4 linked regions of the Diceros bicornis minor genome follow. The protein of the gene in region 3 interacts with the protein of the main gene of each other region in a pairwise test. Links are inferred from orthologs where the notes say so. Each region holds a gene or a part of one and is shown on either strand. Other genes may lie near its edges.

Region 1 (7,421 bases), on a different chromosome or scaffold from region 3:
CATCTGTAAAATAGGGCAAGTAACAGCACCCACCTCGTGGGGTGTTTTGAGGATTATGGCAGTGAATGCTAAAACGGGGCCTGTCATACAGTAAGCGCTGCCATTGTACAGACGTGACAAGGGAGGCCAGGAGGGGAAGGGGCAGGCACAGCAGCACCTGGGCATTGTGAGGTTTAATAAGTCAACACATGGAAAACTCTTAGTAGGGCATGTGGTAGGCCCTCAACAAACATCAGCTCTTTTATCATGACTCTACCTCACGAGCTGTTGTATCAGAGGCACACAGTGAATACGATGAATGAATGAGTGAGTGAACGAATGAATGAATGAATGAAAAGAAGCACTTGGACAAGTGATCTGGAGCTCAGGAGAGAGGCACTGGGAATCTGTATGGCAAATGAAGCCAGGATGTAGAAGGGGTGGCCCAGAGTGAGTACAGAGAGAGAGGAGAGTAACAGAACCCTGAAGACCACCAGACATTGAGGAAAGCCTCTCACAGGCAGGATGAGACCAAAGTGAAGGGGGAACAGCAGCTCCAAGGAAACCAAAGCAATGCAGGAAGCAGAAGAACACTTCCAAAACAACTGCCCCCGGCAAAATGTATAATCAATACCCTTAGAAATGTACAAAATGATATTGCCTCCATGAAACAAGAACAGGAGGCTATGAAAAAGGAACAGTCAGAGATCAACAAAGAACTTTCAGATAGAAGAGAGAACATAAAAGAGCAGAATCAAGGAACGGAGTCAAAAGAAGAAGAAAGTCAAGGAAATCTCGCCAACAATAAAAGGAAAAGATAAAAAGATAGGAAAGAGAAGAGAAAAAGTAAGAAAATGAGATCGGAGCAGGAAGTCCACTCTCTGAAGAACAGGAGTTCTAGAAAGAGAGAGGAGAGAAAATGGAGGGTAGCAAGCATCAAAGAAATAACAGGAGAAGGAGAAGGGGAGGGGCCCCAGCACGGAGGGGCCAGGGAGGGGTCAGAAATGGCCGACTCACTGGAGAAGGCGCTGTCTCGGAGGCCGGGGTTTTTGGACGCAGGAGGTGGCGGGACGGCGGTGCCGGTGGCTGGGACAGTGTCAGGAAGCACCACTCTGTAAGGAAGTCAAGGGGTGTGTGAGCACGGACTCCCGGCCGCAGCCCCCACCTCCCGCCGGGCAACTCACAAGTAGCCCTCGTTGTGATAGTCTTCCTCATCCTCATCTTCATCCGCGTCCTCACAGGCTGGCTCTGGGGTAACGACACGGGGGTCGGCAAAGCCTGGGGCAGGCCTTAGCCTTCCCCTAGCCACGGCACCTGGGGTTCCAGAAGCACCCTCGTTCTCATAGCTCGCCACACTGTTGGCTGCAGAGAGAGAGTGAGGGAGACTGAGTCAGCTCAGGCGGGGCCTAGCCTATGTACAGCCCCAGCCCCCCAGGCCGCTCCACGCTTACCACCATCTGAGCCTTGCCGGGAAGATGGCATGCGGTGGGAGCCCCCGGGGGGCTGTGGGGATCTCCTGGGAGTCAAAGGTCAGAGGTTATGCTGGAGTGGGGCTCTGGGACAAGAGGGGTAACAACAGGGAAAGAGGCCCCAATCCAAGGAGGTGAGGGGTAAAGAGGAGACTCTGGAGAGGAACGGGCTACTTACGGGATGGGGAGCAGGTCTGGCTGGCTCAGGGGTGGGAAGGAGGTAACAGGCGGGTAGGAAGCGGCCGGTGGCCATGGGGCGAGCGTGGCTGAGGACACAGGACCAAGCTGAAGGAATGACTCCAACCTCATGCCCCTACCATCCTCGAGGCCTCAAAGGGCAGGCTAACCCCTGACACCCCTGGACAGGCCTGAGGCCACCCATCTCCCTCCCCATCCCCAGCTCAGGTCAAGGCCATGTGGACGCCACAGTGGGGGGTAACCTGAACAAAGGCACACGCTCTCTCACACCCCCGGGGACCCTCTCCCCTACTCGAGGGAGGAGACACCCCGTGTACTCACGAGGCCGTTTGATCACGATGCTGCTCGGGGTCAAGCTGGCAGGAAACACACAGCTAGGGGAAGGGCCGGGAGAGGCCCAGCCAGCCCCCCAGCCCAGCCCCGCATGAGTATTGAGGGAGACAGACACACGGTCGGGGGGCGACTCACCTATCAGAGGCAGCACTGTCATATGAGCCTGGAAAAGAGAGACAGGAAAAGGGGGTGACAAGGGGAAACGGTGATGGAGGCCGGGGCTCTCCGTATCTCCGTGTGCAGGACAGAGTTAGGGACAGTTAAAGACGGAGCAAGGGGTTGGGGGCAGGGTGAGGAGCCCTGTCAGTGTGTCCGAGCACCTGGCCACCTCGCCACCTCGCGCTCACCTGGCAGCTCTCGGCAGCGCACACACAGTGCCATCAGCAACACGGCCAAGAGAGGCAGCAGCAGGGGTCCCAGCACGGAGGGGATCAGGATGGCCGCCTCCATCTGCAGAAGAGAGCCTGGACCAGGCCTGGCTGTTCGCCGCACGCCCCTCAGGGGCAGAGCTGCAGCAGGGCGAGGACTGGGCCAGCAAGGTGCCGGGACCAGTGGGCACCAGGCAGGAGCCAGGTGGGGACAGCTGTGCCCTCCTTGGGGGCCCTGGATCCCCTCCTCTCACTGGACTGAGTGGGGGTCAGCGCTGGCTCTGGAAGACCCTTGATCCCCAGGCGGTCAGGCCAGGGCCTTGACTGGAGTCTGAGGCACCAGCCACCCTGCGCAGACCCTGCACCCCAGTCCTACCTGCCCCTCAGCTTGGCGCCCGCCTCTCCTCCTCGCCCGCCCGCCTGCGGCAGGAAGCTGTGGTGAGCGCCGGGTGAGGGCAGGAAATCATCGGGCTCCTCAGCCGGCTGCACCCGCCCCCTTCCCACCCCCACCCAGACAGTGGGGAGGGGGAGGAGGCCCGATGAGCCACCCCAGGCCCTCAAGAAGGCTCTGCCGGCCTCCAGGACAAGAGGCAACTATACCAGTGGCAGGAGGGAAGCCTGGCAGGCCAGCAGCCGCAGCCTTCAGCCGCGGCTCGAGGAGGCAGCAGGGAGGGAGGTTCTGACACCAGGAATCCCCGAGGGGCACAGGGCAGTGCCCACACCCCCTCCCCCTGGCCAGCCTGCCAAGAGGGGCGGGCTCTGGGGGAAACGTGGGCGTGACTCACCATCACACTGAGCCAGCTCACTCCACCCTCTCATTCACCCAGCCCCAAAGGGCAGGGATTTGCCCAAGGCCCCACAGGAGTGACCCAACAGCCCCCAGGGGGTCCTGGGGCTGCAGACATGGCATCCCCTGCAGTCCAGAGGTCAGAGATCGCTAGCACCGAGAGAGACTCAGCAGGCATTTGGGGTCTGGCTATAAATTTTATTTAGGTACAAATAGCACCGAGCCCCTCGGGCGGCTCCAGTGGAGGGGGACCCCATTCCCGGACCCCCCTGCCCCCTGCTTGGCTGCCTGTGTAGTGTCTAGGAGCTGGAACATGGCCCAAGGTCCCTCCCAGAAGCTGGGCCAGGCTGTGGGTTTGGGCCCGGGCACCTCCTGGGGTAGGTGTGCAGGTGGGCGAGCAACAACCCCTCAGATGAGCACACTGGACACGGGGACCCGGGTGGGGCGGCCTCGCTGGGGCACCACGATACGGTCATCTGCGGGCCCTGTCTCATGCAGCAGACCTGCCGGGAAGGGGTCAGAGCCAGGGCTGGAGGCAAAGATAGACACAAAGCCAGGGAGGGGACCGACAGGCAGCGGGCAATGGACTGGGCAGCAGAGCCACCAGGGCTGTGGACACAGGGGCATCAGCTTGTTGGACAGGCAGAGCTGAAGCCACATGAGGGGAGGGCTGTGGACTGAGGGATGACAGACACACAGGACCGAGCACACGGACGGATGGACAAGCAGGGCAAGGAGCTGTGGATGGACAGAGGGAAGGCGCAACTGACCCTGCACGTGCAGGTGGGCTCGCTGGCGGTCGCCCTCAATGAAGAGAGCGGTGCCCAGGAAGGCCGCACCCCCCAGCGCCCCAACGAAGGCGCAGAGCATGAGTGAGAACTGCAAGGCCCGGAACTCAGACAAGAAGGAGGGGGGCCAGCGCCGGCGGAGGCGGTCGGAGATCTGCCGGAGACAGGAGAGGAAGGCCAGGGGACGGGGTCAGGGAGAGAGAGCCCCCGAACTCCAGAGAACAAAGCCTGGAGCCAGGAAGGGCAGGAGGGCTGGTCCGCCAGGCGAGCTCCACGGCCTCACTGTGGGCATCTGCCAGGACAAAACCCTTCCTGACTAGTTGAGGACCCAAGGTGAGGGGGCCTGGCACAGAGGGCACAGACCCTAACTGGGACCTTCCAATGTGGCCCAGGCTCAGGCCAGTGACCACCAGCCGGTGCTAGGAATGCAGGGGCCCCCAACTCCCACCCCAGGCCCGGCCAAGGGGCAGTGCTCACCACGCCAATGAGGTAGGGGCTCCCAGCGTCACCCAACAGGTGGGACAGCACAATCTGGAAGGCCTCGGCGGTGGAGCGTCGTGTGGGGATCACCACGTACTGGGGGGAGGAGGGGCAGGAGGCAGAGGCTGAGGACAAGGCCAAGGCTCAGCCTAGGCTGAGGTCAGAGGTGAACCCTGGCTCAGAGGTGTGACTGGGGGGAAGGCTACAGACCCGTCTGGGGCTGGACTCTGAAGTCAGTCTGGGGCTGGTTTTGAAGATGAGGTCAAGGCCACAATTCAAGGAAAGTGAGGCCTGCTGCCCCCACTCCCTGCTCTCATTAGCCTCTGGGCTAACCCTGGAGCGGCCCGGCTACTCACCAGCAGAATGTCAGCCACAATGGCCCAGTTCATGGATAGCAGTGTCTCTCCGATAAAGATGAAAATCTGGGGGGTGGGGGGGGGTCCTCATCACAAGAAGAGCAAATACATGGAGGGTTTACCAGGTACCAGGCCCATCTGTTAACACATTTAATCCTCACAACAGGTGCTACTATCACTCCCATTTTACAGGTGATGAAACCCAGCACAGAGGTTAAGTACTTGCCCAATGTCACACAGCTGGGAAAGGCTGGAGCTGAGATGCAAAGCTGGGTATTCCTGCTCCAGAGTCGGCTCTGAACTGGCTGGCTGACCCCAGTCCTGCCCCAGTACCCCGTTCCTCCACCCTGTACCCGGAACACCCCCCTTGATACCTCTGGGCTACTCACATAGGTGGCCACGATGCTACCACGGGCACAGGCGAGGGACAGGAAGAGGAAGGGTGCGGAGCCCAGGAGGCCAGCAGCACAGACAAGCGGGTCAGCCCGGGGGTTGGAGCGGCGGAGGCGGCGGCTGACCTCCACGCCCAGGCCCACACCCAGGACGCCAGTCACGCAGGTGATGAGCCCGAAGATGAGGCTGGGGGGAGTGGAGGGGGTGCGGGCTAGACCCTCTGGCTGCAAAGCCCCCTAGCCTCACCCCCACGGCCTGGAGAGGAAGATGGTCCATCCCAGCCACCCTCACAGCCCAGGTCTATCCAGGCACAGCACCCCACAGTTCACTAAGCTCAAAGAGGAAGGCGTCACCCCATCCCTGTTTCCCAGACCAGGACACTGAGACTCGGGGAGAGGAAGTAGCTTTGGGGTTGGGGCTCAAACTCTCCTTGCCTGAGTCTGAATCGCAGACTCTCTCCACTCCATCCCCTGCCGCTTGCAGGCCACCCAGCACAGCCCCAATCTGGGTACCTGTCAGAGGAAGAGCAGGAGTCTCCAGGAAGGCAGGGTGGGGTCTCCCCCAAGACCACACGGGAACGCAGCAAGAAGGCAGGAGCCCAAAGAGCCAGGGAGCCCGTGACGAAGGCCACAGCAGTGAAGCCAAGGGAAGACAGGATGAAACTGGGACTGCAGACAGTTGGGAGGAGAAGTCAGACTCCACTGAGGTGTTGGGGTAGGGGACCTCTGTTCTCCCTTCCTGACTTATTTTAATAAGGTCTGGGCCCCGGGTGAAGGCTGTCCTGGTGCCCAGGATCTGGGCCTGTAATTCAAGCTGCTGCCACAAGGAGGCAGTGGTGACTGAATTCCAGGCCCTGAGGTAGAGCCAGCTGGCATAAGAGAAAACAAAGACCACGCCCACTAAATCTCAAACTAGATGTCAGGCCTCCCTGGGGGGCCTCAGATGTTGGGTGAGAATGGAACTAAACTCACTTTCTTGCCAGAGCCCTCAGATCTGCCCACCATGAGGTGGGGCTCAGGGGCGGTGAGTCTGAGTGGCGCTCCACAGCTCCCCTCGGCGGCTCCCGTACTACTAGGAACAACAGCAGAACAGCCAGCACTCCTAGACCTGGTGTCACCTGGGGGAAGAGTGGGCTTCAGGACAGGCACAGGGAGGGACACACTCAACCTGGGGCTGGGAGAAAGTGAGGGGGTATTAAGGCAACTCAGGCCTCAAGACCTCAAACAGCCAGGTGAGTGCCTGTTCAGGGAAGCTAAACTTACAACTGGGGGGAGGGGCAAATGCCACTAGGGGCCCCGTGTCTGCAAGCCTAGCTGCTCCCTCTTTGGTAACAGTACTCTAATTTTCTTCTAGGAAACCACTCTGCCTTCTCTCAATCCATGTAGTTCAAACAGGGCGGGGCTTGTAATCCAGACTTGGCCAACAAGAGTAGTGTTACCCTCCCCAGCCTCAGTGACTGATTCAGTGGCAGGCATGTGACCCATGTTCATTTAATCAGACACCATGTAGGACTACTGCCCAAGGATCCAGGGTGCTGATGCTTCTAAATAGGAATACAAACATGTGGAGCTTTCCCTTGCTTGAGAATGAAGTTAACACAGAGGAAAGCAGAGCTGAGAAAAGGATGATCAAATTCCTGTGACAGTGGGTGAGTCCTGGATCCAGCTTTACCTGAAGCTCACCCTGGGACTTTCCATTATGAGAGCCAAGAAAGTCCCATTTTGGGGCTTACAGTTTTTCAATGGGCTTCTGTCACCTGCAACCAAGAGTTCTAGCACATGGCTTCATGGTGAGGGCAGCCAGGCTTCCTGAAGGCTTGCAAGAGTGAGACTGCCTCAAAAGAGGGGGTGTCTGAAGGTAGGAAACGGGGATCAGTGAGAATGTTCCTGACCTTCGGCAGGCCGTGACCAGACTCACCCTCAGAGCCCAGTGCCAGTCCCCGGCCACATCCTTCACTTTGGAGCCTGCAATGTAACCCAGACCACTGGGGGAAGGGAGTGGGAGAGGAGAGGAGACAGCTGGTCAGTCGCGTCCCCCACGCCAGGCCCTTCTGCCTCCCCATCAGGCCCAAGGCCCACTCACCTGCCCACTGGGATGGCAAAGTAGAAGACGCTGAGCATCCGACTCCGCTGGTCTGCCACGAAGAGGTCAGCGATGAGAGTGGGCGCGATGGTGGAGTAACTGGCCTCCCCGACCCCCACCAGGCCCCGGGTCAGGAGGAGCAGCCAGAACCGCTGGGGAACAAGACATGGGGGAGGTAGCACCCCACC
Region 2 (7,326 bases), on a different chromosome or scaffold from region 3:
AGGCGTTAGCTGCATCCCACAACTTTTGATAAGTCATGTTTGCATTTCCCTTCAATTCAAAATATTTTCTTAATTCCCTGTGATTTCTTCTTTGGTCCATAGGTTATTTAGAAATGTGTGTTTAGTTTCTAATTATTTGAGGATCTTCAAGGTATCTTTCTGTTATTGATTTCTAATTTAATTCTGTTGTGGTCAAAGAACATACTTTGTGTGATTTGAAATCTTTAAATTTATTGAGACTTGTTTTATGGCCAAATAGTTTATTTTGGGAAAGGTCCCGTGTAGCCTTGAAAATAATATGTATTAAGCAGTTGTTGGGTGGAGTGTCTATAAATGCCAGCCAGGTCAAGTTGGTTGATAGTGTTGATCAAGTCTTCTGTATCCTTACTGATTTTCTACCTACATGTTCTTTCAATTATTGAGAGAGAAGTGTTGAAATCTTTAACTATAATTTTAGATTTGTCTATTTTTTCTTTCAGTTTGATTAATGTTGGAGCATAGGGTTTCTTTTCTTTTATTTTAACTTTGCAGATGATTCTAATATGCAGCCAGAGTTAAAGAATATTGCTCTAAACCAATAGTTCTCAAACTTCAGCATGCATCAGAATTGCTTAGGGGGCTTATTATTAAAATACGGATTTCTGGGCCCTACTCCCAGAGTTTCTGATTCAGTAGATCTGGAGGAATTTGCATTTCTCACAGCTCCAAGGTGATGTTGATACCGCTGCTTCAGAGGCCACACTTTAAGAATCACTGACTAAGCCAAAGTATCTTAACATTGGTTGCATATTAGAATCACCTGAAGAGCTTTAAAAATTATGATACATAGGCTACATCCAGACCAACTAAATTTAGGATCTGCTTGGGGAAAGGAGGAGTAGAGCAACCCAGGCATCGGTATCCTTTAAAGCTCTCTCTCTCTCGCTCTCTTTTTTTTTTTTTTTGTGAGGAAGATCAGCCCTTAGCTAACATCCATGCTAATCCTCCTCTTTTTGCTGAGGAAGACCGGCACTGAGCTAACATCTATTGCCAATCCTCTTCCTTTTTTTCCCCCTCCAAAGCCCCAGTAGATAGTTGTATGTCATAGTTGCACAACCCTCTAGTTGCTTATGTGGGACGCGGCCTCAGCATGGCCGGAGAAGCGGTGCGCGCCCGGGAGCCGAACCGGGCTGCCAGTAGCAGAGCACGCACTTAACTGCTAAGCCACTGGGCCAGCCCTAAAGCTCTCTTATGTGATATAAAAAACAGTCAAGATAGAGAATCACTGCTCTATACTAAAGTAATTATCCGGATTGCCCAAGAAAGTCTTTGCGGCTTGTTACCAACACTTCATCAGTGTCCCCTGAGTGAAAAACACTGTGCTGTTCCAGCAAACAGGTCGTATGAATGACCTAGTGCCCTGGGGCAGGAGATTGGGTTTCAGCTCCTCCTCTTCCACAGTCAACCTAGCAGTTTCCTTTTTCGCAAAATGGAGCCAATGTCTCCTACCCGCTTCCTAGAATATAGAAAGCTTCTGACAACCAATAACATTCTATCTTTTGTCATTGGGAAAACATTCCATTAACTATCTATACTTAGAAATTAAAATGATCCTTAATTTAATGATACTTATTTTCCATAATTGGGTTTTTATGCATAGCGTTTTAGAGAAGAAAAATATTGACTAAGAATTATCTAGGTACACTTTATCCTACCTAATACTTGCAGGGAAATTCACGTGTTACAGGTATACTCCAAAGAACCTTTAACGGCAGTCACAGCAGCAAAGTTATTAAACCAGAATCTTTTAATCTTCCATTAACCCTCCCATCTTCCTTCACTTCATCCTGCACAGGGGCTGTGACGAAGGAGAAATCTTCTGGCAGGAGAATTATCACAAACAGTGCTGACACTTTGGACAACAGCCATAACACAGTCTTGTACTTGTCTTCTCCTTCTCCTTCTCTGCCTCTCCTCCTCCTTTTTTTTCCTTTTTTTAATTTTCGGAGTAATTTTACTCAAATTACAAATCATGTAATTTTTACAATCATCATGTGAGGTAGGCAGAATAGGTATTACTGTCCACATTTTTCAGCTGAAAACTAAAGCAGGCAAAGAGAGATTGCACAAGGAACTAGCCTATAATACAGGTTCTTTGGTTCCAGGTACAAAATTTTCTCCAACTGAGGGGAAGGAAAAATGGGCACAAATGTAGACAGGAAAAACCAGAGAACTTCCGACAGCCTCAGGAGCCACCTTGGAGATCACTAGGCACAGGGCCACTATGAGCAGAAGGGAATATTCAGAGATGAAGTCATCTAGTTCATCACAGACATTTTACAAAAGAGGAACCTGGCTTGCACTGGGCAGCTAGAAAGTGTGAAAAGAGTAGGATTGACAGGCAGAAGACCTGAGTTCTGGCTTCACTGTGCCACTAAACTTTGGACCAACCCACTTAGCCATCAACCTACAGACATTTGCCTTTGGATATCCCACAAGCATTTCAAACTCATGTCCAAAACTATGTCTCCTCCCTCACCCATGCCCCCTTCATCTTCTGTGATGATCACCTCAAAAATTGGCCCAGGGCAGGATTCTGAAAATCATCCCTCTCCTTCATCTCCCATGTCTCTCTCTGTTACCAAATTCTGCTATAAGTCTTGCAGATTCATCTCCTCCTCCCCATTTCTTCCGCCACTGTCTCAGTTCAGGCCCTCACTATGCCTGGCCTGATTAGGTTACTACAGTTGTCTAACAGATCTCCTGGCTTCCACTCTCGCCCTGTTTCAATACATCTGCCGCCCCACCCGCCACCACAGAGAGTTTTCGGAAACAGAAATCGTCTGTCACTGCTCTACTTATTATTCATTTGCTCTTCACCACCAACTGGATGAAGCTAAGATCCCAAGCAGGATGTCCCAATCTATTTGTGGTCTGGCCTCTGCCTTTTTCTCGCACTTCATCTTTCACTGCTAGTAACCTCAGCCAAGCCCAAGTTTTGCAGTTCCTCCAATGTCACCTTTGGCTTTGACACTAATAGTTCAGTCTTCCTGGAAGTCTCCTCCTTCTCCTGTCCATTGCCTGGTTAAAATTAACTCACCCTTCTAGACTCAGCTTAGGTTGGAATTTTTCCTGGCACTTCTTTTATATATCCTTTTGATACTCCCATAGCATCTTGTGCAAACAAAAGAGTCACTATTCACCCTGCACTGTGTTTGCTCACACATCTGTGTCCCTCACTAAACTCAGCTGTGGAATGGCAAGGACAGCATCCTATTCAGGGTTTGGTATTGAATAGTCAACAAATATTTGAGGACCTACTTTATGCCAAATGTTATAGGTCTATTAAGGGCCATAGCAGTGAAAAAAGCAAAGACACTCCTTGCTTTCAAGTGGGAGGTGACATAAATAAATAAATGAACAGATAAGTAACCAAGAGAATATGCAAGTGAAAAGTGCTATGCGGAAAATTAAAATAAATCTCGTGATACGAAAGTGACCGCGTGGCTACTTTAGATTGGGTATGTCAGGATGTTCCCTCTGGGAACTGACATTTAAGCTGATAAGTGAATGCCAACGAGCCAGGTATTCAGAGAGCACAGCATTCCAGCAGAGAGGGCTACCAGTACAAAGGACAGAAGAACCAAAGGTGGCTCTTGTGGCTTAAAGCAAGCGTGGGAAAGTCAAGATGGGGTCAGAGAAGAAGGCAGGAGTTGTATTATGTAAACTTTGTGGGCCAGAGTAGAGTTTTGATTTTGTTCTAAGTGTGATGGGGAGTGATATGATCTGATTTATATCTTTAAAAAGATCTCTCTGAGACTGCTGTGTGTATAAAGGGCTGTTGGGAGTGGAAACAGATCAGTTTGGAGGAGAAAGACGTCAGTGGCCAGGATTGGGTGGTCGCAGCGGTTTTGGAGAAAGTGGACGGCTTTCGGATACATGTGTGAGCGTGGCCAGGCCCCGCTAGGGAGCCGATGAATTAAGCACGTGGATTTTGGCCCGAGCACCTGAGTAGTTACTGGGGAACAGAGCAGGCGCTCTGCGACTTGCAGGAGGAGGAAGAGGGCCTTGAAAAAGTCCCTTCGCCTCCGCGGACTCCGGACTCCGGGGAGAGTCAGGTCAGGCAGCTGGAGAGAGCCACGCCCAGCCGCGCAGCTGGCGGCCTGCCAGCGCCGCGACGCCGAGAGGGCCGGCGGGCGGCGCGCGCGGCCCCGGGACTCCACGTGCCCGGCGCGGGGGTTTCCGCGTCCTCGGGCGGGGCCGGAAGAGGAAGTCGGCGCTGCGGTGGCGGCCCCAGCTGCAGCGGCGGGCCCGGCCAAGCCCCGCCGCCCGCCCCTGTCCGCCGGCCGCGGAGACAGCGACGCGGCGGGACCCGAGCCTGCCCCCGCTGAGTCGCGCCGCGCCGCCGGGCACCCGCCAGTCCGATGGGGCCGCCGCGGCCGCTGCCCCCCGCCGCGGCCGCGCTGCTCTGGGGCTTCCTGCTCCCGCTGGTAAGGGGGGCGGGCGGCGGGCGGGCCTCCCCGGGGCGGGGCCGGGCCGGGACTCCCTTCCCCTTCTCCCCACCCCTGGGCGGCTGCCCGGCCTCCCCTCTGCCCGCGCCGGTGCCGCCTGCTCGTGCCTCTCCCTTTCCTCCCCCCCTTCCCATTGCTCCCTTTCCTTCCAGCCCCCTCTTGTTCACCCTTTCCTCCAGCCTTCCTGCCCTCCACCCCCATTCCCGTCCTTTGAAGTCCCCGAAGCTCCTACCCCCAAGAAAGCTCTCTGCGGAGCCCCGCAGGCTACGTTGACCTTGGTTCTTCTCTCTAGTTTTTCACTGTTCCGGGCATTTTTAATTGACCTCTGAGTTTTAGCGTCTAGACTTCCCTGCAGCTTCTTAACCTCTTTTCTTCTCAGGAAGAAGAAAAAAAAATTATACATGGCCCCAGGGTGTTGAGCGGTTCAAGGACTGTGCTTTCATTTAATTGCTCTAATATAGTTTTTCTTTTTCTTCTTCTACCTCCTCTGTAGTTCCTGCTTGGCCTTAGGGCTCATTGGATTCCATTCTGGGGGGTTTTGGTAATCGTAGTGACTTAAAATAATTTTTAAAAGAACACAACAAAGTGTAATGCCTTTAGTGGTTTTCAGTTCTCTGCCTGGTTTAAAGGGGAGGGGAGTCGGTTAAGTAACAAATATGTGTTCACAGGTTTGTTTTTTTCATAATTACGGAAAAGTAATGATGTTTTAAAATTCTGCATCAAGCAACTGAGTTTCACTGGGTGGTCAGGACGCCAGTGTTCAGTGTTTGTTTCTTGTAAATTTCACTTAGGGAGTTTCAAGTTGGAAACTTTTATAAGCTTTATTTATATAGAATTGGTATGGTGTATGCTGTCTAATTCTTTCCATTAGAATGTGTAACTTCTCTGAAGGAGTATGTTTTCCATGCTCTCCAGTTTAGAGGATTACTCTTTGTGAATATATTCAATATAAAAGTGTCTTGAACATTTATTAAGAAACCAAAAATCAAAGCCTAAAATGGTTAAGTGCCTGTGGTATGTTAGTAACTTTGCTAGGCAACATTAGGAACATGAATGAGATAATGTATCTAAAAATTGCTTCAGCGCCTGGAGTGTGTGTGGGTGATACAATATAAAGAGAATAACAAAGTAGCAGTGTTAGTCTGAATCTTTGAGGTGTTTACCATGTAATCAGATATGTCTGAAAGATAATTCAGATAGTATGTAAATACACATAAAACTATATGCTAGATATAAAACTTGTGTGATGTTTTTGCACTCATTTTCATTTGAACCTCTTAAACTAATTGCAAGAATATATCTTCTATATCACATTCCTATTAATCTTTTCTCAACACAAATTCATAATTAACCTAATAATAATTGCTCATAAACTCACATTGAAATTCTTATCAATAGCTCTGAACCCCCTCACTAGAAAAATGTAAGCAGAATTTTCATATAACTTCAAGGGCTTCACAAATCTAAAGGTCATCCCTGTTCTGAATTGTAGCTAGCCTCTGTCTCTCACATTCTAGATTTTATTCTTTTTATATCCCACCATTTGTTGTATGTCACTGTGTTAATCTTGGGTTCTGTACTCCTCAGTCCCAGAGTTGTTGGGGACTCAGTAACATTCTTTTGCTCCACAAATATTTAGTGTGCATCTGTTATATGCCAGGCACTGGGCTGGTGACTATGAGTAAACTGACAGGATCTTTTTTCAATTGTAAAGCTCTTTTTCAGTGCCAACCATTATTATTGATTTTCTATTTCTTATTAATTTCTCAGTGAGTTTGTTTTCTTCTTGACCTTTCCTTCCTTGAATTTCGTGAAATGATCTCTTTCTCATTCCTTTCCTTTTCTGAGGAACGCAAATAAATCTGGTATCATTTTCCTCAGCAGGAGCTTGCTCTCTCCTTCCTTCTGCTTACTTGCTGGATAGCTAGTTCTTTTCCTCCACGACTATCTGGAGAGTTTTTGTTTGTTTATTTTTTACCATTTTCTCCCTGAAGCCCTTGTTGTTCTCTTCCCTAGTCTTACAGCTCCAGGTGGCCTCTCTGAATTCATTTGAATGAATGATGCCAGCTGAATCATTTCATGTCTCCTTTCTGGGCTCTTGAAGCTGGCATTGCTGGGCCTTTTTCGCCTTAGTCATGTAAGAACAGGGCCAACATCCTCATCTAGAAGCAGCACATAATCTCCAGAAACCACTACCACATCCTTGAAGAAGAGAGGATTTCTTATTAGAAAGGGCCTTCAACATCCTGTAGCCTGCCCTCCTCAACTTGTTGTCTTTACATCAGAGTGACCTCACTGTGTATACTGAACTCAAGCTACAGCATGCCTGGCTGTTTTACTGTTTTCTAAACGCATCAAACATTTAAGTCTAGAAATAAAAAAATTCTCACTTGCCTCTGTCCTATTCCGTTTCTCACTCGTCCTTCCCCAGTCCAACCCCCACCGCTAGCCCCAACCTGTTTGACCTTTATTTCACAGTGTTGTTGGGACCCAGTCACGGAGTTCTTTTTTTTTTTTATAATTTTATTTTTATTTATTTTTTCCTCCAAAGCCCCAGTAGATAGTTGTATGCCATAGCTGCACATCCTTCCAGTCGCTGTACATGGGACACGGCCTCAGCATGGCCGGAGAAGCGGCGCGTCGGTGCGCGCCCGGGATCTGAACCCGGGCCGCCAGCAGCGGAGCGCTTGCACTTAACCGCTAAGCCACGGTGTCGGCCCATGGAGTTCTGTTTCAAAGAGAATGAGTGAAGTTTAGCCTGGATCTGTTTTCTAAAATTGCTTCAAAGTTCTCTGAAGAGTTCTGAGTGTTTCTCATAATGTTTTTACAAAGTTCT
Region 3 (7,014 bases):
GAAACAGTTTGCAAATCTTAGTGCAGCCCCAGCTTTGAGACGAACGAACTTTCTCCTCTTCGCCAAGCCCGGCCCCACAGAGCACGAGGATGGCGCTTTTCCTCGACGGCTCCTAGGCACCCAGCGTCTTGTGAACAATCACAACTTGTAGGGCTCTGGCCGCTGGACAAAATTCTCAGAGAAGGCGTCCTCTCTCCCCGAACAGTGAGGGCTTTATGAGTTCTCGGAAGGCACCAGCGGGGCGCTGGTCTAGAGGCGCAGGGTGCAGGAGGGAGCCTGGGGAGGGTGGACGGACGCGGGCCCCCGGGAGTGGCGGGGGGCCCGGTGCCAGCTCCTCTGGTGGTCTTCAGACCCCCTTCCACCTCTCAGTCCACCTTTTCATTTTATCATTAAACTAAAAAAAGATCAGCCTCTATTCTTTCTATTTCCCTGCCCAGAACTGATCACTCAAAGGGAAAAAATGGCACAACTTACTAAAATGAGTGACTGGCCTCCCCACACCCCAAGAAGGAGAAGGATCCTCTTTCTGAAGGACTGTCCACCCCTGAACCCACAGCTCTTCTCATAAACCAGCGTGTACAGGCGGGTGCTCTGCTCCTCTCCCCAGTCCTAGGACACCACGGGTCCCCCAGAAAGGGCAGTCCCGACAGCTGGAGCTCAGGTTCCAGCTCAGGTTCTAAAATGCCACCAGGATGCCCGGCACACTTAAGACCCCTTGACAGCCTCCTGAAACTTCACGAGTGTGCACACGAGGCCCCTCACCAAACCCTCTATGCCCCACTCAAACTCACCTGCTCGTTTTCCCTCCGACTCATCCAGGAATCTTATTCTCCCTCCGACGCCCAGCTGCATGGTCACCTCCTCGGCCAGAGCTGGACACCCTCTTTTTCCAGCAAAGCCCAAGTATCAGTCCTGCTTCTGGTCCAGCATCTCCTACAAGGCTTCCCAACTCTTTCCTGGCCTGTCTCCCCCCACTGGACTGTGAGCCCTTAGACAGATCATCTTCCCTCTGAGCGCCAGCACTTGGGGGCGTCTGACCTGTATGGACTCGGGAAAATGTTAGGTCCTCGTCAAAGTCAGAGCCACGTGACCAAGTTCCTCGGGGAGGCCGTTTCTCTTTGGTTCTGGTTTCCTCATCAGCAGCAGAGATAACAAACCTTATGTTTTGCTGACCTACCAACAATTCCCTTTATTCCTCCAACCCTCTCTGAGCGTTTCCCGCCGAGGCCAGTGCTGGGTCTTGGCAAAAAAATGTAGGATCAAGTAAAAGGACAGCTCTCAATCTGGGGCAGAGCTTAACCCACTCCGAGTCACTCACCCTTCCAGGAAGACTGAATTATACACCTCTGGTGAAATCCGTGGAATGCTGAGAAATTTCTAGGCCCCCAGCTGACTGCTGTACATGCAATGGCTTATTGCAGGGGTCAGCAAACATTTTCTGACAAGCGGCAGAGTAAGTGCCTTCAGCTTCACAGGCCACAGGGTCTCTGTGGCAACGTCTGGACTCTGCTCTTGTAGTGCAAAAGCAGCCGCAGTTTAGCGGGTACGCGACGGAGGGGCAGCTGGGTTCCCACACTTGGTTTACAAAAACAGGCTGCAGCTGGATCTGCGCCCCGACCACAGTTTGCTGAGAACCCAGGTTGTTTAATCTAATCCCCATCCTCAGCAAGATGGGGGCACCACCCAAGTTCACCCGGCTGAGACACAAATCAGCAGTTTGGAACCCAGGCAGTCTGATTCCAGACCTAAACTCCAAAGTACCCTTTTCTCACCCCCAAAAATGGGTGCACACACAAAACCTTGCACATAATACCCCCCAACCCCGCGGAGCCCTTGCTGGTAAACAATCGCTAGTCTAGGGTAGGGTTTCACTTCGGCACTGTGGACAGTGGGGCCGGGTCCTTCTCTGTGGGGGGCCACCCTGGGCACTGTGGGGTTTTGAGCAGCATCCCTGGCCCCCAGCCACTCGATGCCAGGAGCCCCCCGGCCCCCTGAAAACCACAAATGTCCCCAGACATCATCCAGTGTCCCCTGGGGGGCTAAAACCCCTGGCTGGGGAGCGGAAAAGCAGACAAAACAAATAATCAGTTACAGAAACAGAAGAAACAGAAACATCAGTCGTTTTAAAAGATGCAGAGCACACTCACATCTTCTGGCGCCTAATAACAAAACCAGCCATGCCCTACAAGCACCAGGAACCTGATTAAAGCAATGTTCTACGTGTTTTTAACCTCACAATGACCCTAGGAGCCAGATACTTCTACTGCCCCTACTGTAGAAGCAAAGTGCTGCTCGGAGAGGGGAGGCGACTCGCCCAAGCTCACACAGCCAGCGAGAGGTGGTGGAGCTGGTCCCCAGCCCCGGATTTCTCCCACGTCTGGCACAATACGCAGAAGACCCTAAGGGTGAGATGAGACATAACTGCAGACCCCGCTTTGAGCTCGCACTTCTGCTGGGTCCTGCGGCTCTAATCCCCCCAAGCACCGCCCGAGGCAGGGACCGTGACGACGCCCGTTTTACAGAGTGGGAAACTGAGGCCCGGAGAAACCAGGGGGCCGGCCAAGCTCAGCCAGGTGGAAAGTGGCGGCGCTGGGACAGGGGTCTCGACCTGCGCCCCACGAACGGGACTCCCCGATTCAAAGGGGCCGTGTGTCCGGGCAGCAGCGGACAGCCAGCGCGCGCTCACGACGTGCGGGGCGCTTTTACCTCCCGCCGTCCCCCTGCGGGCCTGCGAACCAGCGTTTCCCGCGCCTGGGGTCCGGCGGACGGGGACCTGGGCCGCCGAGGGCCCGCCCGACGCCGCCCGGCCTCAGTTTCCCCTCAGCGCCGCCCATTCACAGCATCCCGCGGATCGCAGCGACCCCAACCACGTACCGACCTCCTCTGACGGGCCCCGGAGCCCCGGGAGTCCCGAACCGCGGAACCCCGGCCCGTCCGGCTCGGCACCGAACGCCCACTCACCTCTCAGGCGGCCGAACCCCGACCCACCGACGGCTGCGCCTGCGCACCGCGGTGCCGCCCGGCCCCGCCCCCCGGCCGCGACGCCTGCGCGGTAGGGGCTAGCTCCCGTTGGCTTTCCTTCTGCGCAGGCGCGTCGATTAGCGCGGTGGGCGCGGGGGGAAGTGACGTAATTTGGAGGCGGGACGAGCTGGTCGTTAGGGCAACTGACCTCTGCGACCGACAGGAGGCCGGAAATCAGGACTGACTCGTCCTCTGGAGCGGGAATGGAGCGGTGCATGGTGGGACAGTGGCGGACTTCTGCCGGCCGGCTGAGCCGGCCACGTGGTGCTGAGCAGGCCACGTGGTGCTGAGCAGGCCACGTGGTGCAGCTGCGTCTGAACATCTGGCGCCCAGAGAGCATCACAGGCGCTCTGTGAATGGGAGCGACTGTTAATCAGCTCACCATCTTTGTTCATTTATTCACCCACCCATCCACCCACTCACCCACAAATGCATTCTTTTATTCATTCGATCCACAAGACGTAAAGGAATACAGAAATATTTGTTTACATCAGGTCCCTAATATTCATTCAACAAATATTTGTTGCAAACCAATGACAAAAACCAGCCAAGTATCTGCTCTTGTTACCTTGTATTGGGGTAGGCAGACTATAAACTAGTAAGCTAGTACATACATTAACAAATTTCACTTAACGGCAAGCGCTAAGAAGAAAGAATGAGGTGTCGTGATTGTGACTGGGGAGGTAGATGGCTGGATGGTTAAGGAGGACCTCTCATTCAGAGGTGGATTTGGAGGACGAGGGAAAAAACTCTCCAGGTGCAGAGAACAGCGAAAGCGAAGAGTAAGTAGGATCAAGCTCGGTGTGCTTAATGGAGGGTGAGTGATGAGAAATTCCCTAGAATGACTCAGAACGGACTACCATTAGTGTTAAATTTGCCAGAAGTGTTCTCCCAATTCATTTTTATCCTATTTAAAAAGCATGCACGGTTAACGCTCTGGATTATTTTAATTTCTCTTGCAGAAATAAAGGAGATGGGTTTTTTGGTCAGTTTAATCCTAGTAAAATATTTTTTTCCAGGTGCCTTAGACGGCTCAAGACTTTGTTGTAACTGACAACACTAGATATAGATCAGCCTACTGCACTTTTCCAAAACACCTGTTATTTAAAGTCCTGGATCCATTTACTGAAGCTTTCTCCATGATATTCAATTGCCTATGTTTCTTTTTTTTTTTAACTGTGTTTAATTTAATTGATTAACCAGACTGAGTTGACATATGTGGCGCACCTTCTCTATTTATTAGACCCTGGAAGCTGGGCAGGGTGCTGGTAATGGGATAATCTACAAAAAACTTCTGAAAAGTTGCAAAACTAGCCAAATACACAATCATAAGGTAGAAAGGATGCAAGTACAAATTAAAGCAGGAGCTAGAAGCCCGGGCAGAGTACTGACAGAAAGAGCCAAAAATTTTCAGTCTCAGGTGCCAGCTGTGTGTCGTGTGTGTGTGTGTGTGTGTGTGCGCGCGCGCGCGCGTGTGTGTGCGTGTGTGCGCGCGTGCGTGCGCGTGCGTGCGTGCGCGCGCGCGCCTGCCTGCGTGCGTGTGTTTTTGTGTATGTTTCCATGGAAACGTCCCTCCCTTGCCTCCCGATGGCTCCGCCCTCTAGCGGCTGAAAGCCAATAGTGGGCAGGGAGCGTCCCGGCGCGTGCGCAGAGCGCGTCAGCTCCCTGGGCCGTCCCTTCCGGTTGTAGGCGGAGCTGGGGTGCGCGTGCGCCCTGTCCCCCAGCGCACGCGCCCTCCCAGCATGCAGTGGGCGCGCGGCCGGCGGGCACCTCAGTCTAGTCCGCGGCGGCCGCTGAGTGCAGCGGGTTGGTTGGCTGCAGCGGCCGGAGGCCGACCAGGTGGAGAGAGGCGCCGCCAGTGCACAACCGCCCGCCATGAAGTCCCCCGCAGGTAGTGGCCGCCCCTTGGTGTGAACCCCGTTCCCCGGACCCGGGCGCCGCTGCACCCTTGCGCCTCCCGGGGGCGCGACCTGGGCCCAAGAGCGGACCCTGGTGACCCTCGAGTGACCAGGGCCCGGGAGTGGGGGGGGATTGGGCCACCCCAGGAACCCGCCCCCTCGGTGGCCGAATGAAGGAAGCAGCTGTTCTAGCGCTTCATTCATTCAGCAAACTCCGGGTCGCTTCTGCTAAGGACGGGTCTGGCCCCGGGGTGGACTCTGGGGGAGACCGAAAGTTCTGGACGGCGTTCCAGAGCCGGAGACATGTTCAATAAGTAAAGAAGCAAGCAAGGGCTGTAGAGAGTGGTCGGTGCCGTGGCTGGTGGCGCTTCCTTGGAGAGGGCGGTCAGGGAGGGCTTCTGAGAAGTGGTGGCATTTCAGCTTAGAAGCAGCTGTGCCGCTAAGACCTGGGGGAGGAGCGTCCCAGGTGGCGGGAACGGCGAGGGCAAAGGCGACGGGGAGACAGCAAGACGGGTGAGCGTTTGGACAGCACCCAATCATTCTGGCTGGAACACACCTGGCGGTCCGTGGTCTTTTAAGGGCAAAGGGACGCAGTGGGAGGGTTTTCATTTTCTTTAGAAAATCGCCCAGGTTGTGAGCTGCCTCCTGGAATTTTCTGTTGCCCGCCTCTCCTCCCCCAGTTCTTTCTCCATCCCATTGCCATGATGATGATGATAATTGTATTAAAGATGATCATCAGAATGAGGGTCATCAGGCCTCAGGAAGGCAGGAATGTTGTCAGCCTTGTTTGCTGCGGGATTGTGAGCTTGGAGACCTGGCCCATAGGTTGCAATCAATAAAGACTACAGAATAATTGCGGCCGCTCAAGTGTTTGACATCCTAGTTCTTCCAGGAGGCTTTTTTTTTTTTTTTTTGATAATTCCAGCTTACACTGATCTCTCACCTGAGCCCCTGCAGCCTGTCTTTGCCATCAAATTTAATATAGACCCACAGTCCTTTTTCTGCAGTTCTGAAATCCAAAATACTCTAAACAGAAAGACTTGCCCTAAGTTTGCAGCAAAATCATTTGGCCAGAAAATCTGACCTGTACTGAGTTGAGTCTTTCTTTTTCCCACTTAGTTTAGATCAGAGTTCCTCACCTGGGGTGATTGTGCCCCTCCAGGGGACACTGGGCGATGTCTGGGGACATCTGTGGTTGTCACACTGGGGGTGCTCCTGGCATTGAGGGGGTGGGGGCCAGGGATGCTGCTCAGCCCCCAACAGAGCCCAGGACAGCCCCCCAGAGAGGATGATCTAGCCACAAATGTTAACGACACTGCTAAAAACCCTGCCCTAGAGACACCAAGTGTAGATCTGAGCCAGCAGCACCTTGCAAAGACCTCCCCACCCTGGTGTTCACAAACGGGGAGTCCGGGACCACTGTGGCCCTGCCCAGCTCCTGCCATGCCAGAAGGGGAGAATGAGGCCCAGGTTCGTGTTTCCTGGAGAAGCCATTTTCCACTCCACTCTCCGGGAGAAGTACTTACTCCACATTCCACATCCAGCTGGGGAACCCGCAGGCCTCTGTTCCTTAACTCAAAAAGGAATTCGGGACAGGTGTGGCCATTCGAGACCCACAGGTGCTCCAGGAATGCCATGGAGGCCTCACGCAGACAGGGCTGTGAAAAGGAAGACTGGTGGGATGGGGATGCAGGGCAGAGGGGGCGACCTTCGGGACGGCCTGGGAGACTTCTTGAAGAAAGCTGGTGTGACTGGGCACAGAGAAGTTGGCCAAAGCCACCGTGCTGGAGCCAGGAGAGTCTGGGTGATGTGGACCAGGGGTCAGCAAACCAGTTTGTAAAGGGCCAAGTGGTTTAGACTGGCCGAGCCACACACCATCTCAGTGCCATGTGAAATCTTTACCTCGTGGTAAAGCAGATTTGCCAGCCTCTGGTGTGGACTCTGATAAGGGTTTGAACTTTGATCTTTAGTGCAGCGTGGAGCCCCAGAAATGGGGCAGGAAGACCAGTTGTGCAGATTTGCCAAGGTGGTTGTGAGTGCAACACTAGTGCACAGCGGAGGGGCTGAGGTTAGACTGTGGTGTGAACCCTACCTC
Region 4 (7,067 bases), on a different chromosome or scaffold from region 3:
GAAAACACTTTGGCAGTTCCTTGAAATGTTAAACACAGAATTACCATATGACCCAGCAATTCCACTCCCCAGAGAAATGAAAACATGTCCACCCAATATTTGTACACAAATGTTCATAGCAGCGTTATTCATAATAGACAAAAAAGTAGAAACAACCCAAATATCCATCAACTGATGAATGGATAAATAAAATGTGGTATATCCATAAAATGGAATATTATTTGGCCATAAAAAGGAATTAAGTACTGATACGTGCTACAACATGGATGAACTTCAAAAATATTACGCTAAGTGAGAGAAGCCAGTCACAAAACACCACACTCCATTTCTACAAAACGTGCAAAATAGGCAAATCTATAGAGACAGAAAGTGGATTAGTGGTCGCCTAAGGCTGGGGGTGGGGAGGATGAGGAGGGACAAGGCTTCTCTTTGGGGATGAAAATCTTCTAAAATTAGATTATAGTGATGGTTGCACAACTCTGTAAATACACTAAAAAACACTGAATTGTACACTTTAAATGGGTGAACTTTATGGCATATAAATTATATCTCAATAAAGCTATTTATTCTAGGGGAGGCAGGAACCGGGCAGACAGAGGACAGGGAGGGGAGGCAGGCTTTCTGTTATATACCTTTTTATACTTTCTGAGCTTCCAACCATGTGACTATACTACATATTCAAAAAGCAATTTAAAAAACAAACAAATCAAACAAAATTAAAAAGAGACCCTTGACCCTTCCCTCATTTGGGGAGAAAAGAGGGAGAGACTGCTTCCCACCCAACCCCCTGTGAGGTGATGGTTGGGTGGATAGTGGGTCAGATCCGACAAGGGCGCCTGAGAGAGCTTTCAAGACACGTGGCCGGGAAGCCACCACGCCGCTGGACCTGACCGAGAGACAGTGCCCAAGTGGCCAGAGGGTGCCGTCCCTGCTCCCCCTCCTCTACCACTGCCTGGACCTACGGAAAATGCCAGAGTCATCGTCAGCCCCAAAGAGGGCAGAAAAACCCCAGGACTGACACCGGCCAGGCAGAACAGAAGCTTGGGAAAGAAGCTCTGTTGACACACGGGGAAGAAGGGAAGGAGTCCCGCACGCCTGGTCTGTGGCCCCGGCTCCCAGCCCAGCTCCCGTGCACCCTGAGACTGGAGAGCAGCCAGGAGGGACGATTCCTGGAGCCCACTGCCCATGCTTCCTCACGTGCTTGGCTTGTTAATAGGTGCTGCACCAAGAAAGACCTCTGGGGTCAAATTAGTTTGAAAAATGCTGGGTTAAAGAAAGTCAAAGTGTGTTTTTTTAACGGCAGCCCTTCTCAGAACCACTGCTTGTGACTCTTCAAGAGGGGCTCTGGCAGGTACAAAGCCCTTCTGTGTTTTTGAGGGACATCTGGTGGAACAGAGGCTCTTCTTCTTTTTACAGCTGAGGAAAGGGAGCCCAGAGAGGTGAAGCGGCTCATCCAAGGTCACACAGCAAGTCCGTGAGCAGCAGAAGCTAGAACTCCTGACTCCCGGCCAGGGCTGAGTCCTCGGCATGAGGTAGCCTCCATCAGTGCCAGGTCACAGCTCTGACCCATCCCGACTCACGGTTGGTCCTGGGGGCCCAGGCAGCTTCATCCTGTATCAAGGCGACCTCTGGTCCCTCCCTGGTCCAACTCTCTCAGAAATTTTATACATTTGAGCCCTTAGCTGAGGACACGTCTGGGGATGTGGTCACAACACAAAACGGAACAGAGAAAAGACAGGCTCCCTACCTGATGCGTGGGGGAGAGAATAGGCTGTGCCACTGTGGGCCCTGATACCCGCTCAGATCCGGCCCCGGGTCCCATCTGCACAGGGAGGACCTGGCCCCTTTTATCCGCTTTAGCGACCTACGCTTCCAGGTTTCTGCTTTCGAGCAAACCTTTAAAAGCTGCCCTGACGCATGATCCAGCTTCTTCAACAAATAAACAGCAGGGAAAAAATGGGAACGGTGCTAGATTAAAACATAGGGCCAAAGGCTGACGTGGGCTGTGTTTGATCCCGGTTTGCACAAATCAACAGGAAAAGGCACAGCTGAGACCATCGGGAAGTCTGAACACTGACCGGCCGATAGTGGGGAGAGACTGAGGGATCATGGTTCTCAGAAGTGGTCACCACATCATGGTTAGTTTTTTGGTTTTTGTTTTTTAAAGAGTTTTTAAGAGATAAATCCTGAGGTGTCCCCAAATCAAACAACACGATGTTCGGAATTAGCTTTAAAATGCTCCAGGGGGCCGGAGCCGGGATGGGGGGCGTGGGTGACCAGAGTTGGTCACATATTGATAAATGTGAAGCGGGTGACCCACCAGGAGGGTTTGTAAACTCTCCTCTCTACTCTTGCCTAAGTGTCAACTTCAAAATAAAATATTTTTAAAATACCCTGGTGGGGGCCGGCCCGGTGGTGCAGTGGTTAAGTGCCCGTGCTCCGCTTTGGCAGCCCGAGGGTTCACAGGTTTGGATTCCAGGCGCGCACCCACGCACCTCTTGTCAGGCCATGCTGTGGCAGCGACCCATATAAAGTGGAGGAAGATGGGCACGGATGTTAGCCCAGGGCCAGTCTTCCTCAGCAAAAAAGAGGAGGATTGGCATGGATGTGAGCTCAGGGCTGGTCTTCCTCACACACACACAAAAAGTCCTGGTGAATCTGGCTCCGGGCCCTCTGGCCAGCTTGTGGTAGGGGTCTCAGAGGGAATTCCTGCCCCGGTGGCTGACCATCTGGCCTCGGGGCTCCCATCCTGGACTGCAAGGCACAGACCCCGGAGTCCCCAGACCTGGGCTCTCCACGGGCGGGGGCTTGGGGAGGCCCCGGACCGCCCCAGCTTGCCCATCTGCTGTGGGCGTCGCGCCCACCGACCCCACGGAGCCCAGGCGGCGCCGAGCCCTCCCAACCACCCGCGCCTCCCCGGCTACTCACGCCGCTCCTCCGGGCCCGCCCGGCTCCGGCCACCTCTCCTGCTCTGGCCCGGGCCCCTCATTACTCAGGACGTTTATTATTAGCCTCAGATTTGATTAGTGCCCCTGCTGCACTTCCTGGGTTTTCCCCCCAAGCTGTAGGATGTAAATCAGCGGCACCCCCACCCCTCACCCCCGCGCCTGCGCGCTGTCTCGGGAGCTGCTGGGGGTGGACGCGGCCCGGCGCCCCAGGAGTCCCGTCGGGCGCTGTCTGCTGAGCCCCCCGCACGCTGCTCACCCGGGCAGAGCAGGGGAAGGCCCGACCCCGCCCCGGCATGGGCTACCAACCCTGGCATGGCCCAGATCTGGCCCTGACCTCCCACCGGGACCTGGTCTCCTGCCCCACCGCGGACACGCCAGGCTCAGGCCCGGGAAACAGCTCTCCAGCTTCCGAGCATTGCTCAGGCCCTTCCTTCGTCCCGGACAACTATTGCTTGTTTCATTGCCCGGTCATCTCCTCTTATTCCTTCTTCAGGCTCAGCTGAGGTGTCACCTCCTCTGGGAAGCCATCCCTGACTGCCCCAGGCCAGGTTAGGTGCCCATTCTCTGTGCTTCCTAAGCTCTGTCCTTCCTCCCTTCAAAGCACTCCAAGAGGCTGACACTAAAGCCTGGGTTTGAGTCTCAGCTCGCCCACTTAGCAGCAGGAAGCCTTGGCGGCAGTTTACTTAGCTTCTCTGGACCTCCATTTCCTCTTCTGTAAAATGGATATAATAACAGTCCCTGTCTCACAGGTTGTTATGAGAATGAAGTGAGTTAACACAGTGGAATTTGTAGAGCAAGTTCTTGGCACAGAGCAGGTTCTCACTAAATGATATGGAAATTAGTGCTGTAGCCCTCTTCACACTCTTGTCTTCCCAGCTCCTCTGAAACCTCCGTGAGCATGAGGAGCCCGCGGCTTAAGCTGGAGTGGGACGCACTTAGAAGTCACAGGAAGCCCACGGCACTCAGGAAGGGACCTTTGAGGGCTGAGAAGGAATCAGGCGGGTGGAGGGAAGGAGATAGGCCTTCCAGGCAGCGGTCAGGGCAGGGGGGAGCGGTGCGGGGAACAAAGGCCAATTTAGATGATGGTGAGCAGAACAGGAGAGAAAATGCAAATGGCTCGTAACCCTAAAAAATGCTTAATCTCACCAATAAGCAGAAAAGTACGACTTAACCATGAAAAACTGATTTTCATCCAGCAAGTTGGCAAAGTCTTAAAGTTGATGGTGTCGAGGACTGGAGGGGATCTGCGGAAATGTGAACTCACGCCCTGCTGGAGGAGGGTACCGCCATTTCAGAGGGCAACCTGGCAGCGTCAAGTAAATGTGGAACATATGCCTAACCCAGGACCCAGAAATTCTTTCTGTGCCGCAGAGGCACAGGGATGTTCGCTGAAGCATAGTCAATAACAGTGAGCAACTGGAACGACGCGAATGCCCACCCAATAGAGATGGCTGAATAAATAAGGTACACAGGCCGTAACCAGGAACACTACGCGTCGCCTGAAAAGAATGAGGCAGATCTGTAAGCAGTGACGTGGAAAGATTGTCAAGACAGATCGTTGAGTGGAAAGAACATAGTTTATAGGATGATACTTACAGTAAGATGCCTTTTAGTAAAACACAAACAAGCAGATCACACACACACACACACACACACGCACACAAGGCCACTATATTGTCCACGATCGCGTACGTGTGAATGTGACGCGAGTCTGAAGGGCTGTGCATGATGACAGTGGCTGCATCCAGGGGGCGGGGGGCGAGAAGGGAGCAGGGTTGGCGGTGATGGTCAAAGGGGACTTTAGCCCTATTCATACTGTTTTAACTTTCACATGGAGAAGATACCACATATTACTTGTGTCAATGAAATGTAGCAAACCCACGGCTGGGCTGGTGGGGTAGACGCGTGAGCCAGAGGCAACCATAGATTCTGTTGCCAGGAACGTTCTGCCTGTTGAAATGGGGCAAGCCCAGAGTCACTGCTGGATGCCCTCACTGCATCCCCTCCTTGCCTTCGATTTGCACACTCCCAGGGCCGAGGCTCTCACCACCTCACAAAGCGGTTGGCTCCCAGGGGGTGAGCTCTGACCACTGGACAGCTTGTCTCCATCTATTGAACACTGTGCCTTCCAGAAACGCAACCTCTGGACAGGTTGCCGCTCTCTGGAGCCACATGCATGGTCTTGGTCAGTGAGACAGCACTCTGGAGTTTTACAGCCAGCATAGGTTAGGCGGAAACTGAAAGACAAGCCCACAAAATCCCACTTGACTTTTGGGGTGGCTGAGAACTGCATGGTGGGGTTCCCTGATGTCCCATTGCTGATCACAGCTTGTTAATGCTTTTCTCAAACAGTTTACAGACAATGGATTTCATTTAGTTTCTATTTCTTTAGTTAGAGGCGTCGTTTACATATGATGAAATGCATGCATGTCCTGTGGAAGGTCAATGAATGTTTACATATGCGCATATCCAGGCAGCACCACCCACATTAAGACTTAGAACACTTTCAGCCCCCACAGAAGGCTCCCTCCCTCCCCCTCCAGGCAGTACCCCCATCCCAGAATAGCCACTGTTCTGACCTCTCTCCCCATGCAATCGCTTGCCTGTGCCAGCATGAGTGGGATGAATGGGAACAGAAGATGGGGTCATCCGCGGTGTCTAGTTTCACTCCGTGTTAGGTGGGATTAAAGCAGGCAGAACAAAGCTGTGGGGATCTTGGGGGGAAGTTGTTTGACGTCTGCGAGTCTCATTTTCTCCTGATCCATCACATGGATGGCCACGAAGCTGAAACAGGACTGCACAGACCAGAGCACACGTGACCCCTCCCCCCAGGGCCGCACGGTTGCAGGGAATTGCTATCGTTGGGCATGCTCGGTCTAGGCCACGACCCACGACAACACCCCCCAGCCCCGCCCCCAGCACTCTGGGCTGCCTCAGCGCAGGTGGTGGAGGTTTCCGAACCTCATTCTGAACCTTCCAAACCTCATTCTGAAACCAGCCCTTCTGACTTGTCTCCTTGGGGGTGCGGAGTTCTAATTTTAAGCTCCACAGTCAAGGCGACAGCAGAGTTTTGGAACCCAGAGCAAAGACACATTGTATACCTCAAGGTTTGGGAACTGGTTCATTCATATACGTGTATTTAAACTGTTGAAATGAGCACGTGGTAAAGAAACATTCAAACAGTGTGAAAGAGAATATAGCAAAAAGCAAATTTCGCCCCAATCTAGATACTCCAGACTCCCCTCCTCAGAGGCAGTAGCCGCCAGCACGTCTGTTCCCACAGCCTTCCACTAGGGCCCAGGCCTTCGTGCGAGTGTGGGTCACTACAGGACAGATTTTGCCCCATTTCCCCCCACACGCTTTTTTTTACGTAATTGCTGGCTTATCCAGATTAAACACACTGTTAACACGCTCCTTTTCTCCCTTAATATATCCTATCAATCAGTCCTTACCTTTTTAAATGAGCTCTTAGAATGCTCGCTAGGAATAATAACAGGAGCGAGCATTTCCGAACCCCTCACTGTGTGCCAGGCGCTATTCTTAAACACTTGGCATGTGCTCATTAATGTCTGTTTTATCTTCTCCGTGACTCACGGAATGGCTGGAATTCCTCAGGGGGAGTCACTCTGTCAGAGGGAACGCTGCCGTGTTGGTCAGTATTTCCTTGCCCGCGTGTGCGATGCTGTGACTGCAGGGCCCCTCGCCCACTCCAGGGCTGGGAGGGTCTTTGAGGCGGCGGGTGTTCGTCTCATCCCGCCCTCGTGTCTGCCACCCCCGCTGGCCCCTTTGAGGCCACGCCGTTGAACCTTCTCTAAAGAGTCTTAGAGGTAAGATAAAAGCAAGAGTACCCAAAAAAGGACATTTCTTAGAAATGCAGCGAAAGCCCTGATTTTCATGATTGCAATTTACATACACGACTCAGATGTGCTGAATTTCCTACTTTGCTAATATACCTGTTCCTTCGATTTGTACTAATTTCTCAGAAAGGCTAGATACTGTTACTTGAGCAAAACCCACCAAAGAAGCAAACACTGATTTCTTTACAATAAAAGCACCCAATCTTTTGTGGGAAGACCTAGTTTCTTTTTCTATTTTAAAATTTTCCCCTCAAAACTTTTT

What was found.
Region 1: the proteins of SGTA (region 3) and LAT interact in binary tests that used the Homo sapiens proteins (3 or more experiments, as listed by UniProt). The two-hybrid records come from large-scale screens. The link is inferred for Diceros bicornis minor from reciprocal best matches to the Homo sapiens genes SGTA and LAT.
Region 2: the proteins of SGTA (region 3) and SPPL2A interact in binary tests that used the Homo sapiens proteins (3 or more experiments, as listed by UniProt). The two-hybrid records come from large-scale screens. The link is inferred for Diceros bicornis minor from reciprocal best matches to the Homo sapiens genes SGTA and SPPL2A.
Region 4: the proteins of SGTA (region 3) and TNFRSF13B interact in binary tests that used the Homo sapiens proteins (3 or more experiments, as listed by UniProt). The two-hybrid records come from large-scale screens. The link is inferred for Diceros bicornis minor from reciprocal best matches to the Homo sapiens genes SGTA and TNFRSF13B.

The regions. Positions count from the first base shown.
Region 1 is NC_080765.1:22,226,361-22,233,781, reverse strand, and holds the start of LAT (linker for activation of T-cells family member 1), read right to left. Parts: upstream 3,020-7,421; 5' UTR 2,724-3,019; exon of another isoform or gene 2,430-2,723; coding exon 2,327-2,429; intron 2,143-2,326; coding exon 2,115-2,142; intron 2,003-2,114; coding exon 1,968-2,002; intron 1,715-1,967; coding exon 1,627-1,714; intron 1,496-1,626; coding exon 1,431-1,495; intron 1,342-1,430; coding exon 1,164-1,341; intron 1,092-1,163; coding exon 997-1,091; intron 1-996. Other genes in the region: SPNS1 (protein spinster homolog 1), read right to left, coding at 3,543-3,637, 3,905-4,076, 4,400-4,498, 4,759-4,824, 5,148-5,337, 5,664-5,819, 6,123-6,268, 7,069-7,135 and 1 more. UniProt on the Homo sapiens protein: Required for TCR (T-cell antigen receptor)- and pre-TCR-mediated signaling, both in mature T-cells and during their development.
Region 2 is NC_080744.1:46,950,527-46,957,852, reverse strand, and holds the start of SPPL2A (signal peptide peptidase-like 2A), read left to right. Parts: upstream 1-4,322; 5' UTR 4,323-4,403; coding exon 4,404-4,469; intron 4,470-7,326. UniProt on the Homo sapiens protein: Intramembrane-cleaving aspartic protease (I-CLiP) that cleaves type II membrane signal peptides in the hydrophobic plane of the membrane. Functions in FASLG, ITM2B and TNF processing.
Region 3 is NW_026691553.1:1,949,843-1,956,856, forward strand, and holds the start of SGTA (small glutamine-rich tetratricopeptide repeat-containing protein alpha), read right to left. Parts: upstream 3,020-7,014; 5' UTR 2,962-3,019; intron 2,917-2,961; exon of another isoform or gene 2,879-2,916; intron 1-2,878. Other genes in the region: THOP1 (thimet oligopeptidase), read left to right, coding at 4,897-4,912. UniProt on the Homo sapiens protein: Co-chaperone that binds misfolded and hydrophobic patches-containing client proteins in the cytosol. Mediates their targeting to the endoplasmic reticulum but also regulates their sorting to the proteasome when targeting fails.
Region 4 is NC_080757.1:466,367-473,433, forward strand, and holds the start of TNFRSF13B (tumor necrosis factor receptor superfamily member 13B), read right to left. Parts: upstream 3,007-7,067; 5' UTR 2,990-3,006; coding exon 2,929-2,989; intron 1-2,928. UniProt on the Homo sapiens protein: Receptor for TNFSF13/APRIL and TNFSF13B/TALL1/BAFF/BLYS that binds both ligands with similar high affinity. Mediates calcineurin-dependent activation of NF-AT, as well as activation of NF-kappa-B and AP-1.